2 linked regions of the Caenorhabditis elegans genome follow. The protein of the gene in region 1 interacts with the protein of each later gene in a pairwise test. Each region holds a gene or a part of one and is shown in the gene's direction. Other genes may lie near its edges.

Region 1 (7,881 bases):
AATCGGAAGGAAGGAACCATAGAAAATGCAAATGACCTCCTTGAATTTTTTACGGAGCTCCACGATTTGAATAATTCACACAAGCCGGGCCGAGAATTTTTTGTTTTGATATTTTTTTAGCAATGAATTCTAGATTTTTTTCCAAAAAAAAAACAAATAAAAACTCACCCAATGCTGAATAAAAGTTCTATCGAATAAAGCTAAATAAAGTGTCCAAGCGGCAATTACAACGGCAATATATATTAATCCAGAACGAAATCGATCTCTTAACTGACTGAAACTACACTTCCAATATTGAGCTTCTAGTGTTGCAGATCGAAATTGAGGATTCCACCATCTAGCAGATGCTCTCTCAAATAATGGAACACGTCTTGGGGAACTACTGTGTGCACGAACTGATGGTCCACATGAACCACCGAGAGCCGGTGTTCGTTCACCGACATCGTCGTCCATGAATCCAGAAGACAAGAAGAATCTTCAGAATAGAAGACGTTGAAAAATGAAAAGGAAGAAGATGAGGCAAGTAGAGGAGAGCGAGTAGTAGTTGTTCCCCCTCCTTCGCCTCCTACTCCCCCCAACTGCTTACTCTTTTTCTCTCGTTCACTCTCTTCCAATCTCTCACTTACTTTTGAAAGCCTTTTCAGAGAAAAAGAGAGTAAAAGAAAGTGCGCAGAGAGCTTTGGAATGAGAGAGGCGCAGAGTTTGAAACGAAAAGCTGCGCGCTCGACTGGCCCCAGGGTGGGGCGGGTCCAAGAGTGTGGAAGAGAGAGAGAGAGGATGGAGAATAGACATTGAGCCTCAATCTTTCGATTATTGTGCTCATGGATTCGGGGGATCCCATGGGATTTGATAAGTATGTCGGAAACAGCAAATGAATGAATAATTAGCGATGGAAATTAGGACTTCAACTAATGAAAAATGGTCAGCAAGTGAATATCTTGGGGGTTTTTCGGATATGATGATCAGCAGGTTCAGGTTATCAAAGTAATGCAGTTTAAGTGAACCTTCACTGTAGGCACTTACCCCCTAGGCATCTGGTAGGGCGTATATCTAGAATTGAAACACTGATTCAAGCGAAACTTTTTCAACTACCGTACTCGGGAGTACTGTAGTACCTCAATCTTTCTCGCCAAATTTCTCCTGAAATTACAGAACTTATGAATTGATTTTTCCTCGAAAAAATCTACGTATATATTTGAAATCGGGAAATAAGGAAAAAAAACTTTTAAAAAGCTTCTATCATACTCGCTGGTACGGTATTTGATAAAGTTTTTCTTCGTGGTAAGATTTTTGTTGATGAAAGAATGAGTCTGTGAAGAATAAACCTTCAAAATTGAACATGGTAGTTGAATGAAAATTAATCTTTTATGCCTAAATAATTTCACATAGCTATATAGCTATTACATTTTTCGCAACAATTCTGAATACCCCGGTTATCGTATTTCGTCGTCTTGGATGCTTGCTAAATGAACCAATTTGTTTACCTATCACGCAATAAAGATGAATCGAAATCACTTTTCGCAATATCGCTTTAAAATGAAACATATAATTCCTAAAATACGCGAAACTCGGGAAAGCGATATTTTTTAAACGACCGCGTTTTTCTATCTCTACCCGCCTCTTGCAATCCCACACTCTCTCGCCTAGCATCACAATGGGGCGCAGTTGCATAAATCGCTTCGCGTTCAAATTCAGAAAATCGTCTCATTTTTATTTTTGTCCTCGACCCGAATGGCCGGTTTCCTTCTTTCTCCGTTTTCTTTATTGATTAATTTTCGCTCGTTTGGCCTAAAAACCGCGTAAAATCCGTCATTTTTCACCTATCTGGCTAATTTTTTTTGCACAAAATAAGATTTTTCAGTTTTCTTTCACTTTTAAACCTTTTCCGCACTGTGAGCTGTTTGCAATTTTCTTAATTTTGCTCTTTGTGCTTTTCGAAATTTTTGTATTATGAAATTTCGTTCTTCCCAAGTGAAATTAACTGAATTTGTTGCAGGTAATGGATTTTATCGATAATCAAGCCGAAGAATCAGATGCCTCCTCGGGCCATTCTGATGATGAAGAACCACAGTCGAAAAAGATGAAAATGGCAAAGGAAAAATCAAAAAGAAAGAAGAAAATGGTTGCCAGGTAATTATAATTCCGGGGTATTTCTATTTTCATTTGTTCATTTTTAGTTCTGACGAAGATGAAGACGACGATGACGATGAAGAGGAAAACCGTAAAGAAATGCAGGGATTCATTGCAGATGATGACGATGAAGAAGAGGACGCAAAATCGGAGAAGTCAGAAAAATCTCGGCACTCGGGAGAAGATGAGCTCGACGATGAAGATCTTGATTTGATCAATGAGAATTATGATATTCGAGAGACGAAAAAACAAAATCGAGTTCAATTGGGTGATTCCAGTGATGAAGATGAGCCGATACGAGTGAGTAATTTCGATTTTTTTCAATTGCCACTAAAATTCATAATAATAATAATAATCAAATTCGGAATTTCAGAGACCCAACCACGAAGATGATGATTTGCTTTCCGAACGAGGAAGTGACGATGGAGACAGGCGAAAAGATCGTGGTCGTGGAGATCGCGGTGGTTACGGATCAGAGTCTGAAAGAAGTGAGGATGACTTTATTGAGGACGATGGAGATGCGCCACGAAGACATCGGAAACGTCATCGTGGAGACGAAAATCTCCCAGAAGGCGCTGAAGATGACGCCCGTGATGTATTCGGAGTGGAAGACTTCAATTTGGACGAGTTTTACGACGATGATGATGGCGAGGATGGTCTAGAAGACGAAGAGGAGGAAATAATAGAAGATGATGGTGAAGGAGGAGAGATAAAGGTTGGAATTTTTGAGAAAAGCTTTGCATTATTGAAATAGGAATGGTTCAGATACGCAGAAAGAAGGATACTACAAAGAAGTCAACACTTCTCGAATCCATCGAACCAAGTGAAATTGATCGTGGATTCTTGTTACCTGGGGATAAGAAAATCGCGAAAGAAGATTTACCAGAGAGGTTCCAACTCAGAAGAACACCAGTTACAGAAGCGGATGATGATGAACTGGAATCTGAAGCTCTATGGATTATTAAATATGCCTTCGAAGAAGGGACAGTGACAAATCAAGCTGACCTGGATCAAGACGATAAACTTGATTGTATAATGAATCTGGATCCTTCTGTCTATGAAGATAGAAAGAAAGCTGTTATAAAATCCATCAAGAAAGTTCTCCAATTCATTCGAGTTCGTTCTAATTCGTTCGAACCTACGTTTATTGGATTTTATCGTAAAGAAGATATTGACAATCTTCTGACAATGAATAATCTATGGAGAGTATACGATTTTGACGAAAAATGGTGTCATTTGTCAGAGAAGAAAAATAAAATTTACGATTTAATGCGTCGGATGAGAGAGTATCAGGAACTCAGTGACGATTTGACCGCAAAAAGACGACCGATTTCGGATGCAGATTTGATGGAGTAAGTTTTAAAATTTAAAATTTAGAATTTAAATTATTTTTCAGCACAAAATACGCAGAAACTCTTGAACAGCTTACCGACATACATGCAAATTTCCAATTGTTGTACGGTGCTCTTCTCGACGATATGATTAGATGGGAAAAAGGACGTTTAACCGGTGAAGAAGAGGAACAAGAGTATCGAGTCAAGTTCAAGTCAAGCATTCGTAATGATAAGTATCAAATGTGTGTGGAAAACGGAATCGGAGAGCTTGCTGGACGGTTTGGATTGACTGCAAAACAGTTTTCTGAAAATTTGAACTGGAAAAAACACGACATTGAGCAAGATCCGATGTTACCATTGGAAGCAGCAGAAGAGTATGTTTGTCCTGCGTTCAGTGACAGTGATATGGTTCTGAATGGTGCGAAATTCATGCTTGCCAAGGAGATCAGTCGACAACCACAAGTCAGGCATAGTGTTCGGCAAGAATTCCGCCAGTCTGCACATTTTTGGATCAAGCCAACGAAGAAAGGACGTGATACAATTGATCAAACTCATCCCCTCTATGACAAACGGTATATCAAGGTGAGAATTATTTGAAATAAATGTCTAGGATTTTAATAAATATATATTTTTAGAGTAAACCAGTTCGAAGTCTCACCGCTGAAGAGTTCCTCTTCTATCACAAAGCCAAAGAGGATGGTCTTGTTGATGTGCTCATCATGTATGAATCTGAAGAAGATCAGGATTCAAATAACTACCTCGTTAACAAGTATCTAAGTGATTCCATTTTCCAAAAAGACGAATACACGGAAAATGTTGAACAATGGAATTCAGTGAGAGATGAGTGTGTGAATATGGCTATAACTGAAATGCTTGTACCCTACATGAGGGATGAGTTGTATAATACGATTCTTGAAGAAGCAAAGACTGCAGTAGCAAAGAAATGTAGAAAGGAGTTTGCATCTCGAATTTCTAGATCAGGATATCTGGTATTAATTTGATTTAATAACTATGTAATTGTTTTGTTTTATTTCAGCCGGATTTCGATAATAACGATGACGATGATGATGGTATGGATCAACATGGAGCTCGTCGAATCATGGCAGTGTGCTATCCAACAGAGCGAGACGAAGCTTCATTTGGTGTAATGGTTGATGAAAATGGTGCAATTGTTGATTATCTTCGAATGGTTCATTTCACGAAACGAACGTTTGGCGGTGGAAACAATGGACTAAGGAAGGCCGAGTCAATGGATTTGTTTAAGAAGTTTGTACAGAGACGAAAACCTCATGCTATTGGATTGAATATTGAGGATATGGAGTGTACTCGATTGAAGGTTTGCACTAGTTTTGAACATTTGATACTTAAAAACTGCAATTTTCAGAGAGACCTCGAGGAAGCTGTGGCAGATCTTTTCTCGCAGAACTTGATCTACAAACCAATTCCAGTATTTTTGATGGACAACGAAGCCGCAAAAGTCTACATGAGATCGAATGTTTCGTTGGCGGAGAATCCAGATCATCCACCGACGCTCCGACAAGCTTTATCCCTAGCTCGTCTTCTTTTGGATCCCATCCCAGAGTATGCTCATTTGTGGAATATTGATGAAGATATTTTCTGTCTCTCTCTGCATCCGCTTCAACGGGATATCGATCAAGAGCAATTGGCTTTGGTTCTCAGTCATGAATTGGTGAACAAGGTCAACGAAGAAGGTGTTGATATCAATAAATGTGCAGAATTCCCTCACTACACTAACATGCTCCAGTTCACATGCGGATTGGGTCCACGAAAAGCCACTGATCTTCTGAAAAGCATAAAAGCTAACGATAATTTGATAGAGAGTAGATCGAAACTTGTGGTTGGATGCAAACTGGGACCAAAAGTATTTATGAACTGTGCTGGATTCATCAAAATTGACACTATCAAGGTATCGGAGAAGACTGACGCTTATGTTGAAGTTCTTGACGGTTCGAGAGTACATCCAGAGACCTATGAATGGGCTAGAAAGATGGCTGTGGATGCGTTGGAGGTTGATGATTCTGCTGATCCAACTGCGGCTCTTCAAGAAATCATGGAATCTCCTGATCGTTTGAGAGATCTCGATTTGGACGCGTTTGCCGATGAATTGAGTCGACAAGGATTCGGAGAGAAAAAGTCGACGTTGTATGACATCTCAAGCGAGTTGAGTGCGAGATATAAAGATCTTCGGCAACCATTCCAAGAACCTACCGGAGAGCTTTTGTATGATCTTTTGGCTCGTTCAGGAAAAGAAATTAGAGTATGTTACTTGTAATAATTCTGTCGATTTTATTTTTATTTTTGCAGGAAGGAGCTAAAGTGTTGGGAACAGTTCAATCTGTGCAGTACCGTAAAGTTGACAAAGATGCAGCAGACAGCATGTTACCTGATGTTGGAGAAGATGGTCTTTTCACTTGTCCATGTTGTAAATCGTTCACATCTTCGGCTCCTGGTGGAATTCAAGAACATATGCTCGGTGACGTAAGTTTTTCTCAACTAATACTATTCGTTAACCAATGTTAAATTATTTCAGTCTCGTCAAGGTGGATGTCCTGGAACACCAGTCGGAATTCGAGTCAGATTTGACAATGGAATGACTGGATTCTGTCCGAACAAGAACATCTCATCAAGTCACGTAGACAATCCATTAACCCGAGTCAAGATAAATCAGCCATATTACTTCAAAGTTCTCAAGTTGGACAAGGAGAGATTCTCACTATTCCTAAGTTGTAAGAGTTCGGATCTGAAAGAAGATGATTTATCTCAACGTGATCAGTACTGGGATGAGCATCAATACCAAGCTGATTTGGAACTGATGAAGAGTGAATCGAAAAAGAAGACAGAAGCAAATACACGTGTGAAGCGAGTAATTGCGCATCCAAATTTCCATAATGTATCCTACGAAGCTGCTACGAAAATGTTGGATGAAATGGATTGGTCTGAGTGTATTATTCGTCCATCGGCTAATAAAGATTCTGGTCTTTCTGTGACATGGAAGATTTGTGACCGCGTCTATCACAATTTCTTTGTCAAAGAATCCGCAAAGGATCAAGTTTTCTCCATTGGTCGGCAACTCTCAGTCGGCGGAGAAGATTTCGAGGATCTTGATGAGTTGATTGCTCGATTCGTTCAACCGATGATACAGATCTCTCACGAGATAACAACTCACAAGTACTTCTTCCCAAATGGAACATGCGAAGAAACAGAAGCAGTCGAGCAATTTGTACGAGAGAAGAAACGAGAGCTGGGACGATCTCCGTACGTATTCAGTGCATCCTACAGACAGCCATGCCAATTCTGTATTTCTTATATGTTCGATAATACAGAACGGATTCGACATGAATATTTCAAAAGTGAGTTTCGAAAAGAGATACGAACAAAGTTTTCAACTATTTTTGTTTACAGTTGTCCCACATGGAGTCCGATTCCGACATCAAAACTTTGATACGCTAGATCGAATGATGGCTTGGTTCAAACGCCATTTCCACGAGCCTCCCATCGAGTTAAGGCGATCTGCGATCCCGGCTCCACAGTATCGAGTTGGTGCTCCTCCAGCAGCTCCATACTATCCTCCTCAATTCGTCGGCTATCACTGAAAACCCTGATCTTATTCTCTTTATTACCCACACCTTATCAGACACATTCAATCCTGTTTCCTTTGTTCCAGTCTATCAACGATGATCTAATTTTAATTTATAGAATACAACATCCATCTGTCTTAATCCCACATAATTTGTTTTGATTTCGGTAATCCGTTCATCCTCGATTTTTACTTTTCAAACATTTTTATATATCTATCAAAATATTTATTCAAGCAGTCATACTGTTCATGAGCTCTTTCTGTATTCAAGTACCATTTTTGTTGTTTACTCAATAAATTTCGTAATCAGAATCACTGCTAAATCATCACGAAAAAACGTAGAATGCGTTGATCACAATTGATATTGGAATAAGAATTGCAAATTCAGTTTTAGAAGAAAAAAAAGTATTCTAGATTCTACTCATATGAATGATTCATCACTAAAAAAGGCACTGTCCCAAAACTCGATCTCATCCGCGCCAAGGTAGTAAGGTTTTTGTTTCTGTCGTATCTATTTAACCTAAACGTAAATTAAAAAATATCTGTCTTTTTTTCTAGGCGTCCTCAAAAACTTGGAAGTGTGCAGAGTATTGTAAGAAATGAATCTGACAAAAGTAAGTTTCAAATCAAATTTCCCAATTAAATCAATTAATTTACTTTTTGAGATGTTCCTTCTCCTTTCGAAGAGATCACACTGAGCGACGATGATGAAGAAGCACCGGCTAAGAAACCTGTAAAATGTGCGACGTGTGCACGAGATATGACTCTTTGGATGAATTCCAGAAGGTTTGAAATATTATTTGTGTTTCTTCTCACTGT
Region 2 (7,817 bases), 4.4 Mb from region 1:
AGTTGTAAAATTAATCCTAACTCCTTGTGCTGTACAAAACCCATTTTATGGAAACATTCAGAATCCCCAATACTTTTTCTCTTTTCTCACATGACCTTATAGTTTATCTTCCGAATGCTGAATGTTTTTTCTTCAGTACAAATGTTTTGAATACCTAGGTAACCTCGAGTATGAGAAACAACATTAACAATGTTTTGGGAGAAACATGTAGTTTTGTACGTCCGGTCCAGTGAGAGTTTTCAACTTATTTTGGAAGAAATTTTTTTTTGACAAAATTTTGCAATTTCCCACGCAGAAATACGGTATGCCCCGTATCTCGCCACGAACATAATATTTTAAATTGACGGAAAGGTGTGCGCCTTTAAGAAGCACAGTAACCATTTTCCGGTTTTTTTTTTGAAATTGCCTTTGATTTTTACTTTTTTCTCCCAAAAACGAGAAATTTAATATAATCCATCAAAATCTTTGTGAACGAGAGAAATATAGTGAAAAACTCAAAGAAAATTGCGAAATGGATTACTGTACTCCATAAAGGCGCACATCTTTTCGAAAAATCGTGAAAAATTGCATCTGACCAACAGTTTTGCGTGGAATCTTCCTAGATTCAAATTTCCTATGAGTCATAAAACTATCATTTTATCGGACAATAACTACACGTGTACCTTGTTTCCATATGTTCTACCAATATAATTTGTGTTCATATGTGGCCAGGTACGGGAAATTAGAACACGGACTGATTTAGGAAGGTTCAAATTCGAGAACAATGGACGACTTGCTGCACGAAAACGTGGATTATTCTGAAACCGCCTATGTGATCACTATCGATTTAGCACTTCGGTTTTCTTTTTCCGTTTTCCTTTATATTCCGTATTGTATGCCGACAATAACGCTTTTTCTTTGTATAAACATTTCCAGAAGCAGAGCAAATTTGTTTATTCCAGAATTGACTGAATATTGAAATAATGTTTACAGACATACTGTAGATTTTTTTCTATTCAAACATGAATACAGTTTTTCGTATTTTTAATCTTCAGATAAGTTTTGTGTGTGTTTTTGAGAATAATATTTAAAAAAGATAAGCAAATATCAGAACTACGGTAAGCGAAGGGGTACGGTCGTCAATTGCGGACTTCCGAGCTGTGCACGGCGCCAAAATTTATTTTGAGTTTTAAAATGATTTTCTTTGTTTTTTTTTCTTTTTTTGACACGATAAGAACATTTTTCTGTATTTCTAATATTTTAAATGAGATCGTAATAAGTTTATTTAGCTCCATCACATTATTTTCGGAATATTCATCGCTTGAAAACGGCGTAAAATAGGTTCCAAGTAAATCATTGCAAACAAATCTCCGTTTATCGTTCTAACAAAGTTTTTCGTTCACTTTCTTATGTAAATCGTTTTCCCCACTTCTTCTTCACGGGAATGATCAATTGAAAGGCCATAAATTGGTTGTTTTCTCCACATTTCGCAACCAACATGCAGCTGTCGGATAGGCAATAAAATAATGTAATCAATGAGTTTTCCGATTTATCCTAACAGTTCTTTTTCTAGTGTTCCTATTCGAAAAAAGTACTGTTATCCTTCTTTTTGGACCGCCCATCTCAGGTGTCAAGACAATCGCAACACACTCAGAAAATGGGCGGAGTATGCCACCCGGCCTTCATTCGTCGCTCCTTGTCTTCTCCATTTTCGTTTTTTTCCTGTTCTCCGTTCTTTTTTTGTACTTTTGTGATAATGCTGAAGTGTTCTTTTTTTTCGCTTAACCGCATCTCTTGATTTAATTCATATTTTCTTTCAGATTCATGTACAATAACACCAAGAGCTGCTCTAACAACTAATAATAACAGAATCTCGAACAGCGAACACAACAATGCGAGTTCTTCTAATTTTACTCGCGTTTTTTGCGCCAATCGCCAGTCAACTTATGGGTGGAGAATGCGGAAGGGAAGGTGCTTGCTCCGTCAATGGAAAATGCTATAATGGAAAACTGATTGAGACATACTGGTGCCGGTAAGCATATATTTCATTCTCCCATGTCAATGTTATTCATCCGCTTTCTCATGAACCGTGACGAAAAGAACAAAAAAAAGAAAGTTTGGGCAGGTGGTGGTGGTGGGAAACAGGCGATAGATAAACAAAAGCTTGGTGTAGAGAACATTTTGAATAATATCCGAAAGTTGAATTATCACTGTCCATATTTCCCTCTAAGACATCATTAAACGCCACCCGGCTTGCAGAATGGGAACACAATGAACAGCAGGAGGCTGTCACAATGTAAAATCTCGTAAATCGTTCGGGAAATCTAAAAAATTGTTATTTAGTTTTCCCTTTTCTCTACAAACAATTCATTTTTCTTATCAATAACTTTGAGTTCCAAAGGCAAAATTTACAGCCGTTTACAGCCATCTTCCCAGGGTTGTCGGCGAATTTATATGGACGTTCATAAAACAATTGGATTAGCGTGTCGGTTCTTTAATCTTGTCTTTTCTTATTACTATCTAGCTCGTTTGATTAGTTATACAGAGAGTATCAACGTATTTATCGATAGGAAAATTGCGCCATGATGCTCTAAAATACATAAAATCGCTCGATTTATCTGAAAATAACACTTATTTCAGCTTAAAAATGTGAGAAAATGGTCCAAAATTGTCTGAAAGTTGTTGAGTGAATTATCGAGATTTGTTTTCTGATCACTTTCACGAATATATCAGCTGAAAAATTGTTATTTTCAAGTAAATCGATATATTTTGCCACGATTTTTGATTAAAAATACTGTAATTTATTGATTGTCACCCACCACTGGCCCACAGTCATAAATTGTCTCAATTGAATTACTTTTCAGTTTAAAAATAATTTAATCAAATTTACAGTTGCAAAAAAGGATTCGGAGGTGCTTTCTGTGAACGTGAATGCGATTTGGATTGTAAACGAGGCGAGAAGTGCATCTACGATGTTTATGGTGAAAATCCGACGTGTATCTGTCAAGGTAATTTTGTGAATCCTAAAATCTGTTAAATATCATAATATTTTGCCCGAAACGACCTATTTTCATAATGGGACTTCTCAAATCTTTAAATCAAATTATCGCCTTTTTGCATAGTTTGATAAATACTTTATCTCGATTCAAGTGTATTCTAATCAATCATTTTAAGATTTTAAACGTTTCAAATTCAAAATTTTGTTCCATGTTTTACTTCCACCTTTTTCTTCATCTGCCCTTTTTCATAGCGGCAATCTTTTTCACCACATCATCCATCATCACACTGCGAGTGTATTTTTCTTTGATTGTGCCCGACTTGTACGCAATTTTTTGTTTCAGGATATATCAAAATTTCGAAAACTTATTAGGGAAAACACGCGACCATACGTATAATAATTCTCCCGGGAGATCCCAACATTGACAAATTGTACCGCATTCGTGGTATCCTATTTTTCATTTCTACGCTCTCAAAATGACCGCTAGTGATAGATAGCTTCTACTAGGTCATATTCGCACATCTTCATCGCCTTTGTCATGCGATTTATTGCAAATGTTCGGTTTCATTGCGCGGGGGCAGTAGTATAAATCAAGCAGATGTTGTTACACAGACAGCCATGAGAAAATATTTATAAGTTTTATTATTCAGATTGCGAAGACGAGACTCCTCCAACAGAACGTACTCAAAAAGGCTGTGAAGAAGGCTATGGAGGTGAGTAAAGTTTGGATAATGTATGATTACTAATAGTCAATGACTTTGTATCACAATTATTGTTGTTTTGAGCAACAATTGACAGCTATTTTAATTTTTAAAAAGTTGCAAAATTGTTTTTTTTTCAATTTTATATTTTTCGAAAACACAAAGGACCAATGAAATTATCAGATTTTAAAAAATATAGTAAAAAATAAATTAAATATATTTAATTTAATTTAACATATTCTAATAAGAAATGCGCGAGATCCAAGTCTCCCACTGTGATAACTTTTTCCATCTGTTGTCGGAACCGATTTGATCTCAAATAAATCAAAATATTGCGTGTTCTTTTTCTCTATTTTACCGTAATGAGATTGACACCTTTCTCATCTCAAAGGAAATAATCGGCGGTTGGGGGTAATGAGGTGTGAATGGCTATTAGGAAAAACAAACTTCCGCCGGAATTTGAATTTAAATTCCACTTTTTTTAAAAAGAAGACAAAGGCCTATCCGTGATTAATACATTAATATTTTCAGGTCCTGACTGCAAAACTCCTCTATTTTCGGGAGTAAATCCATGCGATTCGGATCCTTGCAACAACGGACTCTGCTATCCATTCTATGGTGGATTTCAGTGCATATGCAACAATGGATATGGAGGATCGTATTGTGAAGAAGGAATCGATCATTGTGCTCAAAATGAATGCGCAGAAGGTTCAACGTGTGTCAATAGTGTATACAACTATTACTGTGATTGCCCAATTGGAAAATCCGGTCGATATTGTGAACGAACTGAATGTGCTTTGATGGGAAACATTTGCAATCATGGAAGATGTATTCCGAACAGAGATGAAGACAAGAACTTCAGATGTGTATGCGACTCGGGATACGAGGGAGAATTTTGCAATAAGGATAAAAACGAATGCCTCATCGAAGAAACGTGTGTTAACAACTCTACATGTTTCAATTTGCACGGTGATTTTACTTGTACCTGTAAACCTGGATACGCTGGAAAGTATTGCGAGGAGGCTATCGACATGTGCAAGGATTACGTTTGCCAAAATGATGGATACTGTGCCCATGACTCGAATCAGATGCCAATTTGTTATTGCGAACAAGGATTCACTGGACAACGATGTGAGATTGAGTGTCCTTCAGGATTCGGGGGAATTCATTGTGATCTTCCACTACAGAGACCACACTGCTCTCGGAGCAATGGAACGTGTTACAACGATGGAAGATGTATAAATGGTTTCTGTGTCTGTGAACCTGATTATATTGGAGATCGATGTGAGATTAATAGGAAAGATTTCAAGTTCCCAGATATTCAGTCATGCAAATACAATCCGTGTGTGAATAATGCGACTTGTATCGATCTCAAAAACAGTGGATATTCATGTCATTGTCCGCTTGGATTCTATGGATTGAACTGCGAGCAACATTTGTGTAAGTTCGAAAATTTTATTTTTATATACGACAAACGCGCCTTTAAAGAGTACTGTAGTTTCAAACGGTGAAATTTTCATCAATTTTTCAGCTTTTTAACATCAAATCTACATAGACTACACAGACTTAAATTTTGAAAAATCAATGGCAATCCCGGAGCAAGGAGAGTTTTTAAACTACAGTACTCTTTAGGAGCGCACATTTTTTCGCATTTAACAAAATTTTTGTCGTGGCGAGACCTGATACCGTATTTTTAGCTCAAGATTACTAGGCAGCATTCTTAATATCAACAAACTTCAGTGTGCACTCCAACTACATGTGCTAACGGAGGTACTTGTGAAGGTGTGAATGGCGTTATCAGATGTAACTGCCCCAACGGATTCTCTGGAGATTACTGCGAAATAAAGGATAGACAGTTATGCTCCAGACATCCATGCAAGAACGGAGGAGTTTGTAAGAATACTGGATATTGCGAATGCCAATATGGATACACTGGACCCACTTGTGAAGAAGTTCTAGTTATCGAGAAATCAAAAGAGACGTTAGTTTTCTTGGATACTATAAAGAATGCAGCCCAGAAAAATAATTTATTGAAGTAAAAAGCGGTTTCAATGAAATAAATACCTAATTTTAGCTCAAATCTCTAATTTTGCCAGCTTCGGTTTGTGTGACACGGGGAAGGTGTTAAATAAAATTTCTTTAGCTAAAATAAGGCTGTCTTTTTCCAAGATTTGAACTGCCATGATTTATTTGGAATTATTTTTTTGAGCCACTTGGAGTATAATGACGATGAAGATAAAATTCCTTCAAAATTTGTATTCAAGGTATTAAATGTGAACATTTCAGTGTCATTCGTGATCTATGCGAGCAACGAAAGTGTATGGATCTTGCTTCCAATGGTATTTGCAACCCGGAATGCAATTTGGAAGAATGTAATTTTGATGGAGGTGATTGCTCAGGAGGGCAAAGACCATTCTCCAAATGTCAATACCCTGCAAGATGTGCTGATCAATTCGCAAATGGAGTCTGTAATCAGGAATGCAATAATGAAGAATGTCTTTACGATGGATTGGACTGTCAATCAGAGTTATTTCGATGCCCAGCTCATATTCGGAAACATTGTATTGAAAGACGAGGCGATGGAGTTTGTAATTTAGAATGCAGTTTCATTGGATGTGGTTTTGACGGTGGAGATTGCAATAACGGAACAGAAGCAATAATCCTCAGTGATATTCGTATAAAAGTTCAAATTGATCCTATTGAATTCCAAGCTACCGGAGGAGAAACACTAATGCAAATCAGTGCAAATCTTCGAGCAACCGTACGTATTCAACGGGATGAACTTGGACCTCTTGTATTCAGATGGGATGGTGAACATGAAATGGAAAGAGTTGAGATGAATAGTAGCAAGCTCGAAGATCAATTTGTACTTTCGCATCACGTTCGCAGGTATCGGCAAGCTGTTGTCACTGGAATTGTCTTGTATTTGGAAGTCGAAGAAATATGTAAACCCGAGTTTTGCCGATTTTCAACAGCGCAAAGTGTCGTTGATTTGATTGCTGCTGGACTTGTGAAGTCTGATGTAAGTTATTTTTATGTGGAGTACGGCACCGGGCTGGAAACAAAATAATTTGGACCGAAATAACAAAAAAAATTAAATTTGTGAAAAATCCAAAAAGGTAGATTTCCGGTTCACTTTTCACTTTTTAGAAGAAAATCATCCGCGTTTTGCTAAAAATATTTGTAAAACATAAAAAAATGTTTGAAGTACAGAAAATTAGTTTTTGAATCCAAAACCAAAAAAACAATTTTTCGTCAAAATATCAAAAAGTCCCAGCACTGGTGGGGCTTAAAATCTATTTTTATGGTGATAAAATGACCAAATATAATTTTTAAAAATTAGAAAAATTTTATAGTATATTTCGAGCCAAAAAGCGGTGAACCTTTAATTGTTTGAGTTATGGAAAATAATAATTAAAACATTTTCAGGGTCGTATGTCTCTGGGTCTCCCAATTACGGAAGCAATGGTAGCTGTTCCAAAGAGAAACGAAATCGATGAAGGATGGTCTCGCAGTCAAGTTATTCTGTTTGCATGTATTGCATTTTTGGCTTTTGGAACTGTTGTCGCTGGTGTTATCGCAAAGAATGGTCCAGAAAGAAGTAGAAAAAGAAAAATGGTGAACGCAACAGTCTGGATGCCTCCGATGGAATCAACGAACGAGAAAGGTCGTCGGAATCAGTCAAATCATTCGAGTCAGTGCTCTCTTCTTGACAATTCTGCCTACTATCACCCCAATACCAAGAGACACTGTAGCGATTATAGTACCGGCTACAATGGAGAACAATATTCACAGATTTATCCACAAACTCTCGCAAATGGATATCCCGGTGATTACAACGAATTGAACTTTGACTTTCAATCTGAGACGTTCGCACCAGCTGATCTACCAGCCGACGAAATGTGAGTGAATCTTTATAGTTTTATTATAATTATTGTTATGTTTCTTTCAGCCCTCTCCATGTTCAAGCTGCAGGACCAGATGCGATTACAGCTCCAATCACAAATGAGTCAGTCAATCAAGTGGATTCAAAGTATAGACGACGAGTTCTGCACTGGCTTGCTGCCAATGTCAGAGGAAAACCGGAAGATGTCATTACAACAGAGGCAATTCGATGCTTGAAGGCTGGAGCCGATGTG

The links.
Region 2: the proteins of emb-5 (region 1) and glp-1 interact in a two-hybrid assay, tested with the Caenorhabditis elegans proteins (one study listed by BioGRID).

Annotation. Positions count from the first base shown.
Region 1 is NC_003281.10:4,714,784-4,722,664, reverse strand, and holds emb-5 (Suppressor of Ty 6 homolog), read left to right. Parts: upstream 1-1,994; 5' UTR 1,995-1,999; coding exon 2,000-2,130; intron 2,131-2,177; coding exon 2,178-2,430; intron 2,431-2,503; coding exon 2,504-2,845; intron 2,846-2,895; coding exon 2,896-3,482; intron 3,483-3,526; coding exon 3,527-4,046; intron 4,047-4,099; coding exon 4,100-4,453; intron 4,454-4,500; coding exon 4,501-4,800; intron 4,801-4,848; coding exon 4,849-5,742; intron 5,743-5,789; coding exon 5,790-5,963; intron 5,964-6,015; coding exon 6,016-6,835; intron 6,836-6,887; coding exon 6,888-7,078; 3' UTR 7,079-7,372; downstream 7,373-7,881. Other genes in the region: acy-1 (adenylate cyclase), read right to left, coding at 169-453; him-18 (SAP domain-containing protein), read left to right, coding at 7,488-7,546, 7,621-7,676, 7,728-7,848. UniProt on the Caenorhabditis elegans protein: Histone H3-H4 chaperone that plays a role in maintenance of chromatin structure during RNA polymerase II transcription elongation.
Region 2 is NC_003281.10:9,090,442-9,098,258, forward strand, and holds the start of glp-1 (glp-1/Notch intracellular domain), read left to right. Parts: upstream 1-1,799; 5' UTR 1,800-1,871; coding exon 1,872-2,011; intron 2,012-2,871; coding exon 2,872-2,987; intron 2,988-3,627; coding exon 3,628-3,690; intron 3,691-4,209; coding exon 4,210-5,118; intron 5,119-5,418; coding exon 5,419-5,659; intron 5,660-5,964; coding exon 5,965-6,700; intron 6,701-7,107; coding exon 7,108-7,580; intron 7,581-7,630; coding exon 7,631-7,817. UniProt on the Caenorhabditis elegans protein: Essential signaling protein which has a major role in germline and embryonic development; involved in cell fate decisions that require cell-cell interactions. Probable membrane-bound receptor for putative ligands lag-2 and apx-1.